7 separate regions of the Mus musculus genome follow, and all the other regions are reported to be linked to region 2. Evidence: microRNA targets listed by miRTarBase, many of them from high-throughput screens and not tested one by one. Region 2 holds a microRNA gene; each other region holds the end of a gene's coding sequence. Distances are between the middles of the regions.
The links. Region 2 holds the annotated microRNA mmu-miR-709 (GGAGGCAGAGGCAGGAGGA, at 848-866, opposite strand). A microRNA usually pairs through its seed, bases 2 to 8, with sites in the 3' UTR of a target mRNA and lowers its output. Matches are read on the target gene's strand: a 7mer-m8 pairs with bases 2 to 8, a 7mer-A1 pairs with bases 2 to 7 and ends in A, and an 8mer does both.

Region 1 (3,095 bases), not on the chromosome of region 2:
TTTAATGTTAAGTTGGATAACAAAGAATTGGTTGTCAGAAGTTTTTGGACATTAGAATTGTAAAAGACTGTGACTCACAGTAAGAGGAGCATGTGAGCATGGGAAAGGAAAGTTTATTTAAAAAACTGTGGTAGCCACGTGTGGTAGCACATACTTTTATGCCCAGTACTGGGGAGGCTGAAGCTGGTGAATTTCTGTTTTAGGACATCCAGGGCTACACATAGAAACCCTATCCTGAAGAACCCCAGCACTACCACCAAAAACCAAACCAAACCAAAAAAAACCCCAAAACAGCGAAAAAACAAAACCCCCCAAACAACCAAACCCACAACATGAAGACAGCAGATGAAGATCTGAATTTGGATTTCAGGGACCCATGTAAAAGCCAGGAATGGCTGTGTTTACCCTTGCTTCAGATATGGCAAACAAACATAGGAGAATAGCTGGGACTTGCTGGCCAGCCAGCAGAAGAACCCTTTTCCTAAAGGAAAATGACAGAGAAATATAAAAATACCTGATATTTGTGTGTGTGTGTGCACTAACTGTCTTTGGACTATCTAGTGGTTTCAAGCTAGTTCACTAAGAATCTTGAAGGCCAGGAGGGGTAATATACACCTTTAACCCCTAGCACTTGGGAGGCAGAGGCAGGAGGATCTCTGTGAGTTTGACGTTAGTCTTGTCTACACAGGTCAACAAGAACTACATAGCTACCATCTCAAGAAACAAATCAAAATGACAAGAATCCTGAAGCTCTGTGTATGGTGCATGCCTGCAATATTGGCACTTAGAGGAGGTAGATGAGGAGGACCAGGACTTCAAAGTCACTGGACTATGTAATGAGTTCAAAGCCAGCCTGGCCTACAGGAAAGACACTGACTAAAAACACACATAGAGCTATAGAAAAGAGCATGAGTTAGTTTATATATGAATTCTCATTATGCAGCACATAGATATGAGTTACAGGAGAAAATCTGTAATTTCCTGCATTATATGAATTCCTGAAAAACACAGAGAATTAACTAAGCTACAAAGAAATTTAACCAATTTCTAAATATAAATCCAAACTGGTAAAGTTAATGAAAATATATTTATTCAAACCTAACTGTAGGACAGACCCAGACTGAGTTATGCAAACAGTAACTGTATGCTTAGTTAGCTCCTTAGGAGTAGAACAGCTCAGTCATAGAACATTTCTCAAAATATAAATTTGTACAGTAAAATCTAGCAATTAAAAAGACATAATTTACATCTTGAAGACGTTTTTGTTGTTGTTACAGTAGGATGGATTTATTTCTTAAAGGCCCAGTACAAAAAATGGTTGAAGAAAGTGACTTTTTAATAAAATATACACCCGTAGAAAAAAAAATCCTAATATGCTGATATTTAAACAGTAAGAACTTAAGAAAACACTTCAATATCTAGGCACAATCGGTCAAGTATTAATGATAATTTCTGTCATTCCTTTAAAGTTTAGGCCAGCTTTTCAACTTGACTGTTGTTTATGAGTCAGTCCAACACAGAGAAGGCACCTCTCACTCCCCTAAGGACCTTTTGAGAGTAACTATTTATAACACTTTAAAGAACACAAGGTTCTATAGGTTATGTATGAACACAGTTATTTACACATCCCATTTCAGGGTAAACTAAATTACAATATAACTATGATTTGCATTTTTACATCTTATGATGGATATGACTTTCAAAGACACCAGAAGACAATCCTCCATATAAGCTTTTACATACAAGATTTAAATTAAATGTGCATTGGTCACTAGTATGTGAAAAAGTCTATGAATTAGTGCAATTCTTTGTATCCCCAGTGCTTAGGGAAAGTTTACATATAATCAAGAAATCTCGACTACTACATAACTCAAATTTTTATGGCTCAATAGTCTAACCACTTAATGTTCTGTAAAAGATTTCAAAAAGTTGTAAGTGAAATATCAGAACACTTAATAAATGGTTTATAAAAATCTCTTTAAAACAAAGAGAATAGATGATCAGAATAAAGTATAAAACTTCAGAAATATAGTTTTTACTGAAATTTATGAAGGGTGATAAAATATTGACTCTAGGGGGAAATCATCATCCAACTGTTGTTTACTGATTAGATATTTTACTAACCAGTTGAGGTGGTTATCATTATTATTTTTTACTTAGTGGCTTATCTAATATTGGCTGAAGGTAATTTGTAAGAATAATTATCATCTTCCTCCAAAGGAGATGAGAAAGTACTCCAGAAGAATAAGCCTCGGGCGAAGTCAATCAAGACAGTGTGGGAATATTAGGTTGATTTAAGCTCTATTTTTACACAATATACACATGTACAATATACAGTGTCAAAGCTGTACAGTTTTGCAGATTGGGTTTACTTACATTTCTGCGTATGTTCTTTTAGAATACAAATATTCCATGAGAGTCTATTTACAAACTAGGAAGCTGCTTCAGAAACAGCATGACTTAGATATAAAGTGAAACCTCAGTACAGTCAAAGTGCAGGTCATGTTCGCAGTCTGTCTCTGGCCCGTTTCCTACTCGCCATCTGAAGGACACTAGTTTTAAATAGCTACTGGTCTCTGTGTCTGGGTGTTCGTTCACTCATCATAATGCAATGAGAGCAAGAATTTGTCCACATCCATTCCTGCTGGAAATGAACTAGGTAGCTTCTTTTTCTGTCAAAACAAACAAAAAAGAAGAGAAGGAAAAACAATAAACTCTAGGCCAGATAATTTTCTTAGCAAATCACCTAAAACACCGTATTAGGCTCTTTATTATTAAAATTGCATCATTTTTGAGTTTGTTAGAATTTATTTCCATAGGGAAAGACAGACAGGTTTTATTAACCCAATTCAACGTTAGTTTAGGGCAAAAGGCAAAAAAACAAATCTAGAGTATATATATGAATGTTCAGACAAGAGACATGCTTCCTTTAAAATGGTCATTTGTGTCAAATCATAAACTTACAAAACATTACCAACAGATACTGTTTTACTATACTATACTGATTTATTGTGTGCATGTGTGTATGTGTGTAAGTCAAAGGACTGCTTTTGGGAGTGTTTTTGCTTCTTCATGGTTCTCAAGAATTGAACTCT
Region 2 (3,000 bases):
ATAAGCCGCAGATCTAAGAGGGGCAACTGTAGCAAGCAAGCCACCCTAACATTTGGGCCCATCTCTGCAGGCTGCAGACTAGAGGGGGTGAGGCAGGAAGAGGAGACGCAACATGATTGCCTTGAGTCCTCCACTGGGTACCGATGGACAGCCAGAAACGAGAGGTTGGGATGAGGAAAAGACCACCCTGTGTGTAGGCAGAAGGCTCTCTGTGGGGAGGGGACAGGCAGGGCCACCTCTCACTTTTGCTCTTTGAGCCCTCCCAATGTGACAGTGATTAAAGCAGGAAAACTTGAGCCTTGCAGGTGGCTCAGTGGGTGGGGATGTTTGCCATCAAGACCGAAGACCTGGGGTTGATCCCCAAAGCCACACAGCAAACAGACTCCAGTGTTAGCATTGGCACTACGCTCAATACATGGTGCATACAACCCCCCCCCATCATCCCATGCACACACTCGAACACATGTGTATACACACACACACACACACACACACACACACACACACACACACACACACACACACACACACACACGAGGGCCAGCAAGGTGGCTCTGGGGTCAGAGACTCACCACATGAACCTCTTACCTAGTACTTGAGTTCTGACCTCAGGTCATGACCTTGCTTCTCAGGTCTGATAAGCAAGAAGCAAGCCATTTACTGATTTATCTCCCTAACCCCCAAGAAAAATTGTAAGACAGAATATGCAAGCCCGAGGAACTGGATTTGCCCCTGCAACCTGTGTAAAGGAGAGAGAAAACGGACTCCTCTAGGTTGTTCTCTGATCTCCACCTGCACCACAGCACATGCACTCTCCCCACACATAAGTCAATATAACAAAAGACAATCCTCCTGCCTCTGCCTCCCCAGTGCTGCTCAAACAGGACAGTTCTATGCTCAGAGCACTTCTGAGTAGAAGCAGAGAAACGGGACACACTAATTACTCTGTGGGACACTGAGGGTCAGATTGAGAACCTGTGGTTCCAGCACGAGAGAGGAAGTGTCAGGCAAATCTCTGAGTTCAAGGCTACCCTGGTCTACAGATCAAGTTCCAGGGCAGTGAGGGCTATACAGAGAGACATTGTCTCAAAAAAAGTTTATGTTGTAAAAATGTATGTATAAATACATATATGTATGCTTTTTCTTTCCCCTTTTCCTGCCTAAAATCCAGATCCATCTAACTGCACAGCTCCTAATTTGTGGAGGTGCCTTCCCAATGGGCCAGTGTCTCTTCTGCTACCAGCTGCCTATATTCCTGGCACCCCACAGGTGTGGGGCTATCACCTGAGCCTTGGGGGCCAGCTGGGAGTTAGAATTGTGGCCCTAACCACATCTGAGCCCTCCTTCCACCCTCTGCCCACTTACATGGCGCTGGCTGTGTAGCTGGCATCGCCACCTTCCACGTACTGCACCTGGCTGGAATACACGTGTGGGACAGGCACCTGAGGGAGTTGCTGTACCTGAAGCAGGAGGAAAAGCAGGGTCATGGGTCAGGGCTGACCACCACCCACGGGTTCACTGATGCCCACATACATCCCCATCTAGAAGGTTGCACATCATGGTTTTCTGAACAACATGGGCCAGAGGTGGGAGGCTTAGGTAGGAGGCTTAGGTGGGGCCAGGTCTCAGTTGTGGCTGGAAAACAGGAGGTGCTGGGATTCTCTGCTTTGGCAAAGAGGTTTCTAAGGCTTATGAGCAAAGGAGGGGATACCAGACAGAATTCTGCAATGGGCTTGAGAGGTGGGTTTGCAATCTAAAAACCGGGCCTGGGGGTTTTCTGGAAACCAAAAAGGTTTCCCAAGCAGATTAGGGGTGGAGCCTGAAGAGGGATCAGTTGATAGAACAACTAGAAACAACTGACAACACCTTAGGGGCAGGTACTGGATAGCCTACCTCCACCCCCAACCCTGGTTTGCAGGAGCCGTGTCTGGGACCCAGTCCCTGAGGCAGAACAAGAATGACTGGCAGCACTTTGGGGGACAGGGTAAAGACATCTCACCCCACCCGCCTTGGGTTGCAGGGGCGAAGCCTGGGAGCCTGGACTTGAAGGCGAGGCAAAGCGGCTTGCTGGGCTGAATGCCCTTCCCCTGCCCGCCCTCCGCCCCCTGCCGTGCCTCCGCTGTCCGCCGCCACCTACTTTGAGGGCGGTGCCGAACACTAGCACCTGGGGCATTCTGTGGATCCTGACCCTCAGGTCGGGGCTGGCTCGGGCCGAGAGCCCCCGCTGTGGCTCGAAGACCACCCTCTGCTGCGGCAGGAGCAGGTGTGGGGGCAGCATGCCCACCAGCTCCACCCACTGCTCCACACCCGGCTCGTAATGGAGCGGCTGCTGCTCGCTGCCTAGCTGCAAGACCTCGCCGCAGCACACTGGCCCAGGCCCGGGAGGCCGGGGCGGCGGCTCCGGCGGCGGCGTGGGCCGGGTTTCTTGCTGCTCTGCCTTCCTAGCGGGAAACTGACTGCCTGAGCTCTGGAGGACAAACAGAGACACTGGGGTATCACCCGGCTGTGAACTCATGGCCACCCGAATGAAGATTCCCCACTTGGGATCTCCTTAGAGAAGAGAGGAACGAACTGGGCACTATCAGAAAGAAGCGGAATTCGAATCCAGCCCTCTTTCAACAAGACCTGTGTCCTGAGTGGTCAGGTGCTGGGATGGGGACGGATTCAGGATGAAGTCTGAAGCCGAGGGCTAGAGTGAAACCTCACTTCTGCAGGGCTTCAAACCTCAATTGCCCCCACTGTCTGCCCTTTAGGGTCCCCAGCTGGCTCCATTCCTCCCTCTGGATTAGGTGCCTGTACCTCCAGCCACAGCCCAGGACTAGTCTGATTGCCCCGACATAGACAGATAGGACACGCACCTCTTGAGCAACGTGAACTGGCTGCAGTCCCTGCACAGTCAGCTGCTGCACCGGGCCAGCTTTGGTCTGTGGAGTGGCCTGGACTACTGACCTCTGGCAAAGAAGGGCAAGGAGAGGCAAGTTCGAGTATGGTAACCATGGC
Region 3 (3,095 bases), 41 Mb from region 2:
GCTGAATTCTCTAACTGAAATTAACCCAGTCTGTGATTCCTGGTCTATGCAGTTAGTTTTAAAGCAAACAAAAGGTGGTTAATGTCACAGCACGTCAGCATGTGTGGAACTACCACTGCTAGACAATCCTTCAAGCTTCCTGCAGATTTCCCAGACTGCATTCCCTCAGCTACACAGAGGAACACATTAGCCCGTTCTTAGCAGAATAAAGTTCTCTACTTCCATTTCCATAAAGATACAGCCATTTATTATGTGGGGAAACATGTTAGCCTTCTTACACCTCGAGGCCTTATGCACGGTTTATCTATTAAATTCCAAGTGGCACCAAATCGGCATCGCAGCCACACAATTTCATCAAATCCAAGTCCAGTGAGCTTAAGAGAAATGAGTACATTTGTTTGGCTGGGACATCCAGTTATGGTTATGTAGAAAACTCTAACTTAGCAAGGCATAGTGGAGCATAATTTAATCCCAGCACTCAGGAGGCAGAGGCAGGATGACCTCTGTGAGTTCAAGACCCGCTTGGTCTTCATTGTTGATTTAAATCAACAAACCCTAACATGGGAAAGTGGAAGGCTGCAGTGGTGACCTCTGCGATCTTTCTATGCATGGAGAGCTAGAAAAAGACAGAGAAACTGCTGGCCTGATGAGTTAATGAAGCTGAGGAGTCTTAACAACCCTGAATCACTGCAGAAGCCATTTAGGGTTTTACATCATTTTATGGCTTACTACTACCTCTTTTATTCAAGAGACAAGAAATAGCCTTTAGACCCAATGGACATAAAAACATGGCATCGTTGACAAAACCCACAGCTACAAGCTAGTGGGAAAATGGGTTTCAGCACCCACATTCTAACAGGACATTAAGTGATCAGAGCAGAGCTCACTTTAGAAATCAGGGGCAAGCCGGGCATGGTGGCGCATGCCTTTGATCCCAGCACTTGGGAGGCAGAGGCAGAGGCAGGAGGATTTCTGAGTTCAAGGATAGCCTGGTCTACAGAGTGAGTTTCAGTACAGCCAAGGCTATACAGAGAAACCCTTGAAAAAACAAAAAACAAAACAAAAAAACAAAAAAAAAACCAAAAAAAGAAAAAGAAAAAAAAATAAAAGCTTAGGGGCTCCACCTACCCACCTATCCCTACTCAACAACCTGAAGTAAGTATTACAATCTGGAATTCTCTTAAAAGTTGTTTTTAAGGCAGGGTCTCTACAGATCCCTGGCTGTCCTGAAATTCACCTTGTTGATCAGGCTGGCCTTGAACTCAGAGATCCGCTTGCTCCTGCCTCCCAGTGCTCTGATTAAAAGTGTGCACCAGCATGCCAGGCTCTTGTTTTTTAAAATGCAGCACAGCATTTGAAGAGTCACAGAAGGTCCCTTCCCTGTGCTTGAGGTATGTGCATCTCTACTCAGTTACTAAGTTTCAAAAACCATCAGGGCAGCAGGTGTAGCAGTGGGTAGGGTGCTTGCCTAGTATGAGAAAGCCAGGGTTTTTTTTCTCCAACACAGCATAAATAGCATTATGGCACATTCCTGTAATCCCAGCCCTTGGGATGTGGAGTCAGGATTAGAAATTCAAGGTCATCCTTGGTTACAGCACCAGCCCAAAACCAGTCTGGGCTGAAACTTATCTCAAGAAAACAAAATGACCAAAACCAAATCTCTGGCATTCTTAAGGAGTGACATTGCATTCTTTTTTTTAAAACTCCTAACCTACACACAGCCTGAACTCTTCTCAGACAGGGAGTTCTGCATTTGCCAGAAGTCTCAGTGCCTCCAAACCCAGGCTGGTGGTGAAGTGTCTGCAGGGGCTGGAGTCACTTACCCGCCTACTGCTAGGATCCTTGGTGTGGCTTTTCAGCAAGACTTACTTCCTGAACATGGCAAAACACGCTGCAGCAGCAAATCCATTCAGTTCTGGAATATGTTAAAAATTCAACGTAGTCCTTGTGATTCTCCCACCTCCCCCAAAAAGATGCATCCAATTAGCCATGGAACATGCTACTTTTCAGTGACTTTTGGATGCCTGCAAAGTTTTATAAAGGCTTCCTTCCACATGCTACAAATACTGACAGACCTGAGGCCCACATATTGAAATTTATCCCAAACCAGTTTTCCCAACTCATTTCTTTTCATGTTGATCTGTCTCAGTACAGGACACAGGTGTGTCACACAGCACTGACCATTACGAAGCCATTTTGTTGACTTGGAATGTTTTACAACATACTTAAACCCTGTGGACCTAATATTTTTCTAGGCAGCATGGAAGTGCACTGCTCCTAGATGTGCTAACGTGAGAAGTGTCTTTCAAGTTAAAGAGTAGCCTGAAATGTTCTGGTGTGACCATACACTCTACTTAAAGAATTATTAAAAAACAGAGCAAGACATGGTATGTGCTCTTGACAGTCCCAGTATTGGGGGGTTGTATGTGATGCTTAACACATTATCTTTCTCCTTTTGACTGCATTTTTCAGAGGGCACTTTTATATGCTGTCTGTGTCTCTGAGGAATGTGCTGACATTGTGTAATGTAAATACAAATGACGCATCTGTAGCACGTGTACACGTACACACACAAAGACACAGAGCAGAGCCTCAGACCACAGAAGTCGTGCTCTCGGGATTCACCCGCAGGAGCCGGGATGCGTTCCGGAGGTCCTGCAGCTGCTTGGCGGGCTTCCCCACACCTTCCTCAAACCTCCTCTCCACCACCGGGAGGACAGTTTCATAGAGAAAGGATGCGTTCTGCCTGATGAAGGCCTTCTTCTCGGGGTCCTGCTCACAGCGCAGGCTGTAGTCCACATGCTGCACAGCCACCAGGATGATTTCTACCAGGCTCTCCAGGAGCACCATGTGGAGCTCAGGGAAGTACAGTTTCAATGCCTCCTCCAGGAAGCCCATAGTCTGCTTGGTGAAGGCTACCACCGTGTAGCTCAAGTTCACCCAGCAGTCATCTCCCGTGTACTGCTCAAAGTTACTGACCCCGCAACTTTTCATCTCCTCCTTGAGCTTGCCCAGGGCCTCAGGAGTCATCAGGTTCATGCGGCGCCACATCTCCTCCGAGTTTCGGTGCTTGGTGGCTTCAATGATAATCTCCT
Region 4 (3,095 bases), not on the chromosome of region 2:
CTGTCCCAGCCTGGGTCTCCTGACCACTGGGTATTACTTGAGGACACAAAGAGCCTCTCCTATCCTGAGAAGCAGAATCACAGAACCACTGCAACTTTCCTCCTCAACATTCAAGAGATATAAATAGACCGACCCTTGGTTGTGTGTGTGTGTGTTCACTTTGTGTTTTATTTTCCAGCCTCCACTATGCTATGAAGCTCCGGAAAGTAAGCAGATGGCATTCCTGAAGATCACTGGATTTAAGGAAGTCGAGGAAGCAATGAACACTATTGTTTCTAAACTGGAGACTGACCTTGCAGGAATGTATTTGCAAACTGTGGCAACTTAGCTGCTAAAAATTGTGTTTGCTTCACCCTCGAGCTAGAGTCAAGTGTCCTTTGATACAGGACTGAAACATTCCAAATAGCCCATCTGAATTTGGAGCTGACATTCATCCCACTGCATACCCCGTGGACCCCCAGATATATGATGTGCCCTTCTCTCTTGTGAAGACCAGAGGGTTTCTCTCTGTATGCAGCCAGAGGGCTTCTCTCCTTGAAGCCTGCCTTGGCTGGCCTCAGAGTTAGGAGGTTTTGTGCTGTGAACTCGTAAGCTAAAGTCAGTTTGGGTTCATGGTGCTCAGTATGTTTTCCTAGAAGGCAAGGATGGGAGGACCCAAAAATGTTGTCCTTTGAGCCCACATCAGGATGTGGCCCAGACAAGGTGCTTTGTTATCCATAAAAACCCATAACAAAGCCCCTGGCAGGCCAGCCTGAGCAACTGTGGACTTTGCCACATCAGACACTGGGAATAGTGTCTGTGTTTTTAGGCTCTCCATCCCCCAGGCATCTCAGAACTAGCCTTAGTCTTTAGTCCTCTCAACCCACAGTGAGCAGATGGAGGTGTGAATGGGAATTTCTCAGAAGCTATGTCTACATAAGTTAATTGATTAATTTATTATTATTTTATTTTATTTTTGGTTTTTAATAAGATAGGATTTCTCTATGTAGCCTTGGCTATCCTGGATCTCCCTTTGTAGGCTAAGCTGACCTGGAACTCACAGAGATCCACCTGCCTCTACCTCCTGAGTGCTGGGATTAAAGGCATACACCATCACTGCCTGGCTTAACATTTTAATGATGTAGAGAGGCATAGCTTAGGCTGTTCCAACCTAAGCAATGTCTTGCCTCCCTCTGGGTCAGAACTAACATGCTGTAGAGGGCACAAGGTTCTTGTGCTCACAGAGAAGTAGACCTGTTTTCCACCCAGATGTCTGGGAATGGATATAGTTAACATCCTGGTGTTCTGTGCTATTTGTAGACCTAGCACACACTTGAACAGACTATTGTCTTTGTTTATCCCAGACTCTTCCTCCATAGGCCTTTTGCCTGCCAATAGGCCCTTTTCTTGAATACTGTTGCTCAATAAATCTCATCCTTATAGGAGATGTCACTGTCACTTGTATATTAGAAAAGCCTAGGGGACCTCTGTGCTACCTGTAGGGCCAGGCCACTCTTGACTGCCACCGATTTTTATATGTGTTTATCCCAGATTTTTTCTTCTTAGACCTGTATCTCCAGCACTGTTTGTGAGTCAATAGACCTCTACCTCTGCCAAACTTATCTTGTTTTGTTTGTTTGGTTGGTTTGTTTTCTTGGTGTAGCCCCAGATGTCCTGGAACTCACTCTGTAGACCGGTCTGGCCTCAAACTCAGGAATCTACCTGCCTCTGCCTCCCAAGTGCTGGGATTGAAGTTGTGCATCACCATGCCAAGCTAACAGATCCCGTCTTTACGGAAGAGGCCATAAGTACTTTGTAAACTGTGTCAATGTCAACCTGTCTTAAGCATTATTGTACATAAGTGACCGAGTTAATTATCATCAAAAAACTTCCCCCGGAAATTTGTGCTGTGCTTAAATACAGCTAAAGTAAACTGCTGGGGTCAGACTCTAGAAGTTTGACCTAGCATAGGCTAAGTTGTGTTGAACTGGATTTCCTTTTGGCCTCAAATGGATCATTAGGCTGCCAGCCTTGGTGTTTGCAGAGATCCCCAAACATCCTGACAACAGATTTAAACCAAACCAAACCAAACCAAACCAAACCAAACCAAACTAACCAACACTATAGAACTATTCACTTGATAAAACTATTCTCCACCAGTCCAAGTACTGTGAATGCTGTCATATATCTGAAGCCAGAGCTGAGATTATCACTGTGCTGTAACGTTTAACCCTTCCTCTAGTGTGTCTGAAGAACGCCTTACTTTATAACTTTTTGTTCTGTTCTACAAAACTCCATGGAGCCATGAAATTGGGGTACCTAAATCTATGCTTCTAGGGCCATGGTCACTGAAATTTGGGTACGAAATAAAGTATTTCTAATTCCTTTTGAAAGCTGTGTTTTTGCTTCTACTTCAGGACTAGGGATGATGTCAGGCCCCAAGACCCGTTTGTGTGCTTTGAGCTTTTTGAAATATTAATGCTACCAAGGTGGTGCTTCTGCTCAAAGTTGTACAATATCACAGTATGTGCTTTGACCATTTCCTTTTTCTTTGTATTATGTGATGGTTGATTCTTAATTAAAAAACATTTTACTTGATATGTAATGATGTGTTTTAGTTAGGTTTCTATTGCTGTGGCAGACACTAAGACCAAAAGCAGCCTGGGGGAAAGAGTTTGTTTCGTTGTACACCTTGTAGTCCATCACGAAGTAAAGTCAGGGCAGGAATTCAAGCAGGAACCTGGAGGCTGGAACTGAAGCAGAGACCACAGAGGAAGACTTGCTCCTTATGGCTTTCTCAGCCTGCTTTCTTGCATACCTCAGAACCACCTGCCCAGGGGGTGACACCACCCACAGTGGGCTGGGCCCTCCCACATCAATCATTTTTTCAACAAAATGTAGCCAAGTGTGATGGCCCAAATCTTTAATCTCCAAATGGAAAGCAGGCAGATCTGTATGAGTTCTAGGCCATTCTGGTCTACATATAAGTCCCAGAACAGAGACTAGAGAGACCCTGTCTCAAAAAATAAAAGGTCCCACAGGCTTGCCTATTGTCTTATGGAGGCAATTTTTCAAATATGGTTGAAATGTTGAGATAACTCAAGCTTTTGGCAAGT
Region 5 (3,095 bases), not on the chromosome of region 2:
TTAGTGAGCCTGGACATAGAGTAAACTAGCTACCAGCAGCCTTTTCTTGGCTTTTTTGTTTAGTCTTTTTCCTGTTCTAGGCCTCCAGCCTGGGCCTTTGCACATGGTAAGCAAGCAGACAGCTAGCCCTGCCTGTCCTGGAACTCACTCTGTAAACCAGGCTGGCCTTGAACTCAGGGATCTGTCTGCTTCTCCCTCCCAAGTGCTGGGATTAAGTGTGCACCCTCACCGCCTGGCTTCAACCTTTTCAAATGAAAGTGATGCCTGTATCATGTAGCCCTTTCAAAGTTTTGGAGATGTTTTGTGTGTGCTGGAAGTACAGTTTGAAAAAACTCCTATAATCCCAGCACTGGAGGACAGTGACTATTTGTAGGTCAGCAGTCTCTGGATCATACTTTATTCTTCTTTCACTGTTTAATTTTGCTACCATAAACAGTACAGCAAGAAACAAATTCACTAGTATCTTCTGTGTTACTGCTGAGCATAAAGTGGTACAGTATTAATGGACACCATTTTGACAGTGGCAGTGTACAAAGGATTCATTACCACTTTTAAGACTGTTCCACACACTGTAGTCATTAAGAATGCATGTATACTGACATGCTTGACAGCAAGGTTTATTGGAGAAAAAAAAATAAATGTCCATTACCAATAGATGTTAACAGGCATATCTATATTATTGTGCATGTAATAGAAATATGGGATCTGTATAGATTCACAAAAAGGCCCATGATACACTAATGCAGTCAACAAGCAAGTTTGCTAGGCATGGTGGTGCATACTTACAATCCCAGCAATTGAGGGGAAGAGGCAGGAGGATCACTGACTTCAAGGCCAGCCTGGGCTACACATTTAAAAAAAGGAAGTTCAAATCGTTGAAAAATGTAACCACCAGAATGGATGGCAAAGGAAATAAATTACATTATGCATTTTTAAAAAGCCAATATAAATTATTTTACTTACAGATCCTTCTTCCCAAAAACAGAGATGAACAATAGTGGGGAAGTCAGGTTTCTACAAAGAGAATGAAGGATGCTATAGCAATGGAACCATGGTTATATGACAACTAAGTAGACTTGTACACATAAACATGGGTGCATATGCAAAGCTCTACAGAGTATAGCAATTTCTAGGTTTTGATATGGTTAGAGGAAAAATGTTACTTGGTTATAGTTACAATGGACTTGTACTTTTTTCTCTTGGTAACTTTATGAAATCACCAACTCAAAAGATTAAAAAGGATTGGGTATGGTAGTATATAGCACTAGGGAGACAGAGATCGGTGCCCATCTAAATTTGAGGCCAAGACTATACAGTAAGATCTGTATTAAAAAAATAATACTATACAGAGAAACCCTGTCTTGAAAAATCAAAAAAAATATATTAATAATAAAAAAATCCCAAGTTGCTCTGCATCTGTAGACCCAGAAACTCGGGAGACTCGGTCAGGAGGATCAATTCAGTCCATAAGTTCAACAACCTACACAGACCTACTCAAAAAAGTTGTGTGCACAGGTGGTGGTGGTACACACCTTTATTCCAGCACTTAAGAGGCAAGAGGAAGGCAGTTCTCTATGAGTTTGAGGCCAGCCTGGTCTACAGAGTGAGTCTGACAACATCTAGGGCCACACAGAGAAAACCTGTCTTGAAAAACAAACCAACAACATTAAAAAAAAAAACAAAAAACCAAAAACGGTGTTTTTAAACAAACTTTAAAAAAAAATTGCACTGTTTGTATCCATTTAGGAGTTCCAGGCTAAGGTGGGCAATATAGACGAGCTCAAAAAACCAAACAAACAGAAATTTTCCTGTTAACAGTTCTAGTAAACATCTTTACTTCACACGTCCACTCACAGAATCCAAATTCTAAAAGAAAACACTCTTCTTTTGGGAAATGGTCTCATCTATCTCAGGCTGGCCTCAAATTTGCATGGAAGTTGACCTAACACTTCAGATCCTACTTCCACTTACAGAATGCTGTGAAATCAAAGGCAGGCTCTATTCTAGAGCAGTGGTTCTCAACCTCCCTTACACTCTTTAATACAGTTCCTCATGTTGTGGTGACTCCAACCATAACATTATTTTCATTGTTACTTCACAACTGTAATTTTGCTGTTATCATAATACAAATCTCTGATACTCAGCCTCATGAAAGGGTTCTGCAACCACCACAAGGGGTCATGCCCAACAGGTTGAGAATGGCTATCCTAGACAGAAAGTAAGAAAACACCCCTTGTACAACAAAGCTCTAGCCAAGTACCTCAGCCTTAAGACTCATCAGTTTGTAGTTTTACAGCATTTAAATCTAAAAGGTGCAAGGTATGGTGGCACTTGCCTTTAGTCACAGCACTTGGGAGGCAGAGGCCAGTAGATCTCGGAGGTCAAGGCCAGCCTAGCCTATACAGCAAGTTCTATGGCTATATAGTGAGACAAACAAAAAAAAAAAAAACCCCACATTTTACAGAAGGGCAGGGAACCATGCCTGTAATTCCAGTAGCTAGGCACAGGGAGGGCTGCTGCAAGCTTTAGGCCAGAAAAAATAAAAAACAACCCTGAAAATAGACCGATTATGCACATATGGAGCCTCAAACAGTCTCTTTTGGCCTTCTGAGTCTAGGTCTTACTAACTACATCAGCAAAGATTTTCCTGCCTCCACCTCTTAATGTTGGGATTACAGGTGTGAAACAAACGCCTAGGTAGGGTCCCAAGTATTCCGTATGAGACAACTATTAATCAATCATGTTTGCTTTAATAAGATACTGGTCGAAGGGGTCACACTGGTACATAAATTACATTTTCTCAGCTCCAGGACCAAGTAAGGATAGAGCAGTCCGGTATCCATAATCTTGAAGGGTTAGGACCATTTCTTCGAGATGTTGAGATGGTCTAGCTGGTCTGCAATGTATCTATGCTTAGGGAACTTGGAAGTGGCCGCTGCCTTGATGGCTTCAAAAGCCTGGGCCCGTCGCTCCGCGGCGTGGCCGCACTCCTGCTCTGCTGTCATGTAGGGCATGCTGAGCCAGTAGTGGTTCTCGGCCTCCACCTCCAGGCGACGGATCATGCTCTCCTTCGCTTGGAAAGACACGGTACGCGG
Region 6 (3,095 bases), not on the chromosome of region 2:
GCAGAAATTACACAGTGAGTGCCATTAACCACTATAAAAACAAAATTACAGGTTGCCCTCATTTCCCATGCTCACACCTGTTCAACCAGAAACACTAGAACCCTAACCAGTATACTCAAAAGAAAAACCTAAAAAGGTAATTTCAAATTTTAAAACTGTCAGTTATTCAAATTGCTTTAGAACTACAGAAAAAGGAACAATTTTTAATAGGCAGTGAAGGAGCAGCAGTGGCAGCAAGACTGTCAGCAGGGTTTCCACAGGACAGAGCTCTGAGTCTGTCACTGAGTGCTAGAGGGCTAGAGGTCGATAACTGGGTATGACCTTCCTGATGTTGGAAGCACCAATGAGAAAACTGGTCATTTTGTACTTTATGCTGTCCATTGTCCTCAGCCCCTTCCTCAGTCTAGAACGCACAGCAGCACAGTCAGGCCAGGATTCCCAATTCTGTAGTGTGCACAGCTGCTGAGCCAGTTTCTCACCATCACCATGCCCTGCCCTTCCTCTTTCACACTGACCTCTGGACACACTTCCCCATCTCCATTGCTTTGTCTACTGGAGGTGTACTTATGACGTGAAGGGATGTGATGTAACAAGTCACATTTTGTGCTGAAAGTCTTGCAGAAGGGAATAGTTAACGGCAGGCATGTTTACAAGTCCCTCCTGACCTTTGAGTGGCCAGGGAGCTGTGAGTCTTGCCTTTTTCTATCCTAGCACCCCGTCGTCCTTCCACAAGAAGGAAAATTATTTCTGGTGGTCTGGTTCCCTGGGGAAGGGGTCCAAACACCAGGGCTGGGCTGGGTATGCTGCATAGAGAAAGCTCAGTCCATTCTCAAGCATGCACAGTATACACAACAGTTCTTGCTTTCATCCCTTCAAACTGTGTGCACTTGGCATGTACATACAACCAAGGGTGAGCCCTGCTAAATAAGATGGCTCCTGCTGAATTAAGTGATTCAGCCAAGTACCACTTGAGTACAGCCATGTGCAGCTGGGATGAGAGGCTGTGAGAACCCAGGCAGAAAAGATCCTCCAGGAGGCAAAGTCACAGATGTCACTGCTGGCCAAGTACATGAACTAACAGGCTCCATGTCCAAGGCTGGACTGGGGTTTAGTCTACACCAAATAACTGCCAGGGAATAAGGGGTGGAGGAGTGGGGCCAGGTTCTGTCAGGTGTTCAGGACCAGCACACATGATACTCCCCAGGCTTGGTAATCAAGGATGATGATGGACAAGACAGCAGCCTCTCGGGGACAAAACAACCTCCTGGTAAAGTGGAAGGCAGAACTTGCTCAGCAGGGGCAGGGGCTGTGAGACCTGGGGCAGGATGAAGACCCAAGACCCTCCAGGAGGCAGAGCAGGTATCCAGGATGCTGAAGCTGGATGCCACTTCTCAGTGGCACTTGCCACCAGAGTTGGTTGAAGGTGGTTTCCAAAGGCTGCATGGTTGTCACATGTCTGCTTCCTGAAGTCAAAGTCTAACCCCTCCTAGGCCAGGAGGGCAGAGGGAAAGCAACCTCTACTGCCACACTTCTCTACCTGTGCGTTGCTCTCCCTTCCCCCAATTCCACATGAAATTTAAATCAAATTCATAAAATTAAAAATTGTAAAAAGGCAAAGTAGGCAGGCTAAGCTAAATGGAAAAGAAAAAAAGACCATTGTGGAGAAGTTTTAAAAAACAACTAGCCGGGCGGTGGTGGCGCACGCCTTTAATCCCAGCACTTGGGAGGCAGAGGCAGGTGGATTTCTAAGTTCGAGGCTAGCTTGGTCTACAAAGTGAGCGCCAGGACAGCCAGGGCTACACAGAGAAACCCTGTCTTGAAAAAAAAAAAACCAAAAAAAAAAAAACAACTAGCTAGGCATGGCGGTGCACTCAGACAGAGTGGGAAGGATCGCTGAGTTCAAAGCCAGCCTGGTCTACATTGTCAGCCAGCCAGGACTGCACTGTGAGACCCTGCCTTAAACAGTGCGTGGGAGGGAGGTGGGTGGGTGTGTGCAAAGTGTGTGTTGAGAGCTTTGCAAAACAAAAGTTTTAAGCCTGCATATCTAAAACACACATTGAAAATAGTCCCTAACTGAACCTGGCAAGCAGCGCCCCTTCACTGACTTCACAGCACTGCGATTGTTCTTAAACCATTTTAAAAGCCCAACATACCCAAACCTCTCGAAGATGAGAAGCACCTCAACTGGTGTCTTTGGGGTAGGAGAAAGGTTCGCTGCAATTAAATACAAAGCAAGAAACTTCTTTTGCAAAAGAAAAAAAAGTCTTTTTGATCTTGAATGTAGCACATTCAAAAAAAAAAACCAACGTGATTCCTCAGGTTCCATCAGCCACAGGAAGGAGCCCAAGGAGGACTGCATAGGCTTCTCTCCCCAGGTCTGGACCTGTGAGGGAATGACAGCCAGGTGTTAGTGCTCAGCAGGCTACAGCTAGGCTTGTAACTTGCTAAACCTTCTGGAGTCTGTGAGCATCTCCAAGAGTTCCTTTCTGTTTAACAAAGATGGGGGGAAAGAATCCTAAAGGAGGCATTAGCTGGAGACGATACGAAGAGGACACGACTATTAATTAACCTGTCTGGCTATTGGCAGAACAAAGCTGCAAGCACCATCTTCCAGTTCAGCATAGCATAGCAGCATTCCCCACCATAAAGTTCTTACCTCATTATTTGCTGAACTGGAAAGGATAGACCCCGTGGTCTGAGGGGGGCTCCACTGCCAGTTGATTCTGCTGGCCATTGCTCTCCTGTATCACAGCCAAGGAAAGTTACTGAAGCATTCCTACACGCACCTCCCACTAAAGCCTCCCCAATTCAGCCACACACACACACACCGCCCCCAACGCATGTGTGCATCCAACATCCAGACTGCCAGAAAGCGGGCAAAGTGGTCCAGCTACCTTGGAAAATACTTCAGCATTTGCTCATTTTCAGAGTATTGAGGCAGCTGAAGTCAGCATCCCTGTCTAAATTGAACAGAGCAGGCTGGCTAAACACCAATGAAGCCGCCTCCTGCTCTCCTCACAACCACCAGTGAGGATGCCGGCGGTAGGCAGTACCGAGAGAGGAGTACACAGTTCAGAGATCTGCCCTTGATGTGT
Region 7 (3,095 bases), not on the chromosome of region 2:
CAAAACAAACAAAAAAACAAAAACCCAACCAAATAAAAATCACATAAATAAGAGCCATGACTCAGTGGGTAACAGCACTTGAAGCCATGTCTGAAAACCTGAGTTCAACTCCCCAGAATCTACATGATAGAAGGAGGGAACCATCTTCCTAAAGCTGTGCTCTGAACTCTGCAGGCCATCATATGGGTGGGTACACACACACACACACACAAACACAATATATCTTTTTAAGGCAAACAAACAATGGTGTGTGTGTTGGGGGGAGAGGGGAGGAACATAGCACTGAGTTAAAGCCAAGTTGGGCTATATAGTTAGTTCCAAGTCAGCAAGGTCTGAGTGAAACCCTTAAGAAAGGGAGGCGGGGAGGAAAAAGAAAACAAGAGGTAGAAATGAGCATATAATGGTGAAAAAATTATTTTCTTTTTGACGTATAAGATAGTAATGAAAAGGTCAGCTTAGGAACTTTGAGAAGGTCATGAAACACTTGCCCCTCCAAAGAGGCTAATTAACATTTCTCAGATCACAGGGTGGGAACCAACCTGTGTTTGGGGACACATTCCATAGGACTATTGCTCACTTTCAGACATCGGAAGTCCTTGTCACCTCATTCCCTAAAGACCAATCAGTTTAAAGGGTGCACTGTTCTGCCAATCATATTGTGCCTAGTTGCTGATGCTCTATTCTGCCCCTAGAAACCATATAAAAACTCACCGAAGGGGTTCTAGGGGTTGCCGCCTCTCCTTCGAGTCTGGGGCAACCCCAGTGCACTGGTAAAATAAATTCCTCTTGCTTTTTGCATAGATCATAGTTCCACGCAGTTCACTCAGGGGGTCCCCAGTAAGCTAAGGCTCCTGGAGTCTTACAAAACCTCTTGCTTGTTGCATCAATCTCTGTCTCTGTGTTTCTGTGAGTGGGACATCCCAGACATAAGGCTCTTTGGGTCCTACATTTCCACTACTGCAAGAGGCAAAAGTTTTCTAAAAATAACCAATGCTCTCCTAGAAGCAAACATTCTGTTCCCAGTGTAGCACAGGCTGCCTTAGTCTCCCAGGGGTTGTGCCATCATATCTGACTTATCCACATGCGTCTATTAGTGAGGATACAAAACCATAGAGAAATGGAACTGAGAGGACTAAGTTAGCCTGAGTTAGGCTGCCTCCATGACAGGCTGCAAACTGGCAGTTTGGGAGACTAGGCCTAAGTTTCTGTTTCCCAGAACTGGAAAAGTCCAAAACAAGTCAATTCCAGAAAAACCCACCCCTCACGCATAGCCTATCGAGGAGTAGTCAGAAGCTGCCCCACTACCTAGCCTGAGCTGATAGTTAATCAGCAAAAGTCCCCCAAATCTTCCAGAGCCTAAACCAATCACAAAGGCAACCATATCCCTGGAGATATATCCAACCAATCAAGGGGAAGAAAGATAACCGTCACCACTACTACCCTAACAGGCTTTAAATTGATCCTGCAAGGTCCATATCTGTCTTTTATCGTCTTTCATCCCGATGTGTGGTAGACCCTTCCATGCTGGTTCTCTGCAGAATAAATGCTCTTTATTGTTGCATAGTTTGAATCTAGGGTATCATTTTTCAGGAATCACAGGCCCTTACAGAACCATGAAGACTTAAACTGTAGTTCTTTAAAAAATAAATGTTTATTTCAAGTATGAAAAGTAATGTTAAGACATCTTCCAAAAACTCCATTCACTTTAACAAAAGTATAAAACAAGACTTCTGAAAAAACCTTTACAATGAGGTACAAAATACTTGGAATATACTTTGACATTCACAATGGGCACTTTCTGAAAAATAAATTTTGCTAATGTGCTTAGAAACAAGAATCTATTTACAGCCCCAGTCAAACAACCAAGTTACCTCAGGATGACAGCATTTCAAAGTAAGGTTTGTATAAGCCACCCTCATTCCCCTTTTTTGGTTGCTGTTGTTTTGCTTTTAGAGAGAGGCTCCCATGTAGCCTAAGCTGACTTCACCAGACTCACTATTCTGTTGAGAATGACCCTGAATTCTTGATCCTCTTGTGTCCACGAGTCAAATGTTAGGGTCACAGGTATGCACCACTGTGCCAGCAAGACTTAAAACAGTAAACGTGAACCAGGCGTGGTGGTGCAGGCCTTTAATCCCAGCACTCGGGAGGCAGAGGCAGGTGGATCTCTGAGTTCAAGGCCAGCTTGGACTACAGAGTGAGTTCCAGGACAGCAAGGGCTACAGAGAAACCCTGTCTCAAAAAAAAAAAAAAAAAAAGAAAACAAAACAAAAAACCCAGTAAACACAGTTCAACAATGCAGATCACTGCATCATTAGCATACACTTTGTAATTCCCAGACAAATGCAATCTTTCTTTTTGCCTGCTCACCAGCAGCTAATCCAACATTTCAGTCACATAGTATCAGTGAAAAGCTATACAGGAACTCCTTGGCTGAGAAATCCCGATGTGACTGTCCTGAGGTATTTTCTGCAAGGGAGCCTGAAAAGAAAAGACTAGGGGTGTTCTCTTGGTAAAAACAAAAACCATGACTTCCTGGGACTATTTAACTGGACTACTCCCGAGGCTTCTGCTTCTCTTCTCAAGGTACATCTTTTTGTAGGTCCGGAACATGATATTTGATTCTTTTACTGGGTTTTGTAGTATTTCAAATTCATCTGCACTGAGGCTTCTCTTAGAAAGTCTTGAGTCAGCACTATCTGAGAAAATAAAAATGATACTTAATGTTCAGTACAACAAATATACAACAATCAGAAGTGAGACAAAATGTACAGTATCTGTATGGGAACAGAAAACAAAGCCAGATAGCTGAAATGGCAGTGCATGCCTATAATCTCAGCATTTTCAAGGTTGGGGAAGGAGAATCTTCAACTCAAGGCCAGTCTGAGTTTCACGGCAAAAATTTGCCTCAAAAAACCAAAGGAGGACCTAGAGAGATAGTTTGGTGGTGGCTATCTTTAGCCTCAGCACTTGGGAAACAGAGGCATTTAGATCTGAGTTTGAGCCTGGTCTATCTAAAAGGAGAGTTCCAAGTCAGCTAAGACAACATAGTGAAAACCTGTCTCAAAAAAAAAAAAAAAAAAAAAAAAAAAAAA

Region 1: miRTarBase lists Npat as a target of mmu-miR-709. Seed matches in the 3' UTR shown: 7mer-m8 at 642-648 and 7mer-m8 at 636-642.
Region 3: the mRNA of Exoc8 is a reported target of mmu-miR-709. Seed matches in the 3' UTR shown: 7mer-m8 at 958-964, 7mer-m8 at 952-958, 7mer-m8 at 946-952, 7mer-m8 at 489-495 and 7mer-m8 at 483-489.
Region 4: the mRNA of Tnfrsf26 is a reported target of mmu-miR-709. Seed matches in the 3' UTR shown: 7mer-m8 at 1,051-1,057, 7mer-m8 at 1,702-1,708 and 7mer-m8 at 1,708-1,714.
Region 5: the mRNA of Mrpl57 is a reported target of mmu-miR-709. Seed matches in the 3' UTR shown: 7mer-m8 at 2,355-2,361.
Region 6: the mRNA of Rbms2 is a reported target of mmu-miR-709. Seed matches in the 3' UTR shown: 7mer-m8 at 1,731-1,737, 7mer-m8 at 1,725-1,731 and 7mer-m8 at 1,348-1,354.
Region 7: miRTarBase lists Resf1 as a target of mmu-miR-709. Seed matches in the 3' UTR shown: 7mer-m8 at 2,154-2,160 and 7mer-m8 at 2,148-2,154.

Annotation. Positions count from the first base shown.
Region 1 is chr9:53,572,148-53,575,242 of GRCm38, reverse strand. It overlaps Npat (nuclear protein in the AT region), which reads right to left. Exons shown (of 18, transcript NM_001081152.1): 18 at 1-2,672. The coding sequence ends at 2,595. Among named protein-coding and RNA genes, the nearest start is that of Npat, 37 kb to the right of the region's middle.
Region 2 is chr8:84,084,033-84,087,032 of GRCm38, reverse strand. Mir709 (microRNA 709) reads right to left here and starts at 934; the gene lies at 847-934. It overlaps Rfx1 (regulatory factor X, 1 (influences HLA class II expression)), which reads right to left. Exons shown (of 21, transcript NM_009055.4): 7 at 2,859-2,951; 8 at 1,366-1,460.
Region 3 is chr8:124,892,884-124,895,978 of GRCm38, forward strand. It overlaps Exoc8 (exocyst complex component 8), which reads right to left. Exons shown (of 1, transcript NM_198103.2): 1 at 1-3,095. The coding sequence ends at 2,593. Among named protein-coding and RNA genes, the nearest start is that of Exoc8, 3.3 kb to the right of the region's middle.
Region 4 is chr7:143,607,144-143,610,238 of GRCm38, reverse strand. It overlaps Tnfrsf26 (tumor necrosis factor receptor superfamily, member 26), which reads left to right. Exons shown (of 8, transcript NM_175649.5): 8 at 179-2,554. The coding sequence ends at 195. Among named protein-coding and RNA genes, the nearest start is that of Gm15579, 8.6 kb to the right of the region's middle.
Region 5 is chr14:57,826,586-57,829,680 of GRCm38, reverse strand. Mrpl57 (mitochondrial ribosomal protein L57) reads right to left here. Exons shown (of 2, transcript NM_026401.2): 2 at 936-3,095. The coding sequence ends at 2,856. Among named protein-coding and RNA genes, the nearest start is that of Mrpl57, 1.9 kb to the right of the region's middle.
Region 6 is chr10:128,130,985-128,134,079 of GRCm38, forward strand. It overlaps Rbms2 (RNA binding motif, single stranded interacting protein 2), which reads right to left. Exons shown (of 13, transcript NM_019711.2): 12 at 2,657-2,741; 13 at 1-2,383. The coding sequence ends at 2,661. Among named protein-coding and RNA genes, the nearest start is that of Gm51821, 7.0 kb to the left of the region's middle.
Region 7 is chr6:149,334,196-149,337,290 of GRCm38, reverse strand. Resf1 (retroelement silencing factor 1) reads right to left here. Exons shown (of 5, transcript NM_026054.3): 5 at 1,628-2,699. The coding sequence ends at 2,542. Among named protein-coding and RNA genes, the nearest start is that of Gm38930, 17 kb to the left of the region's middle.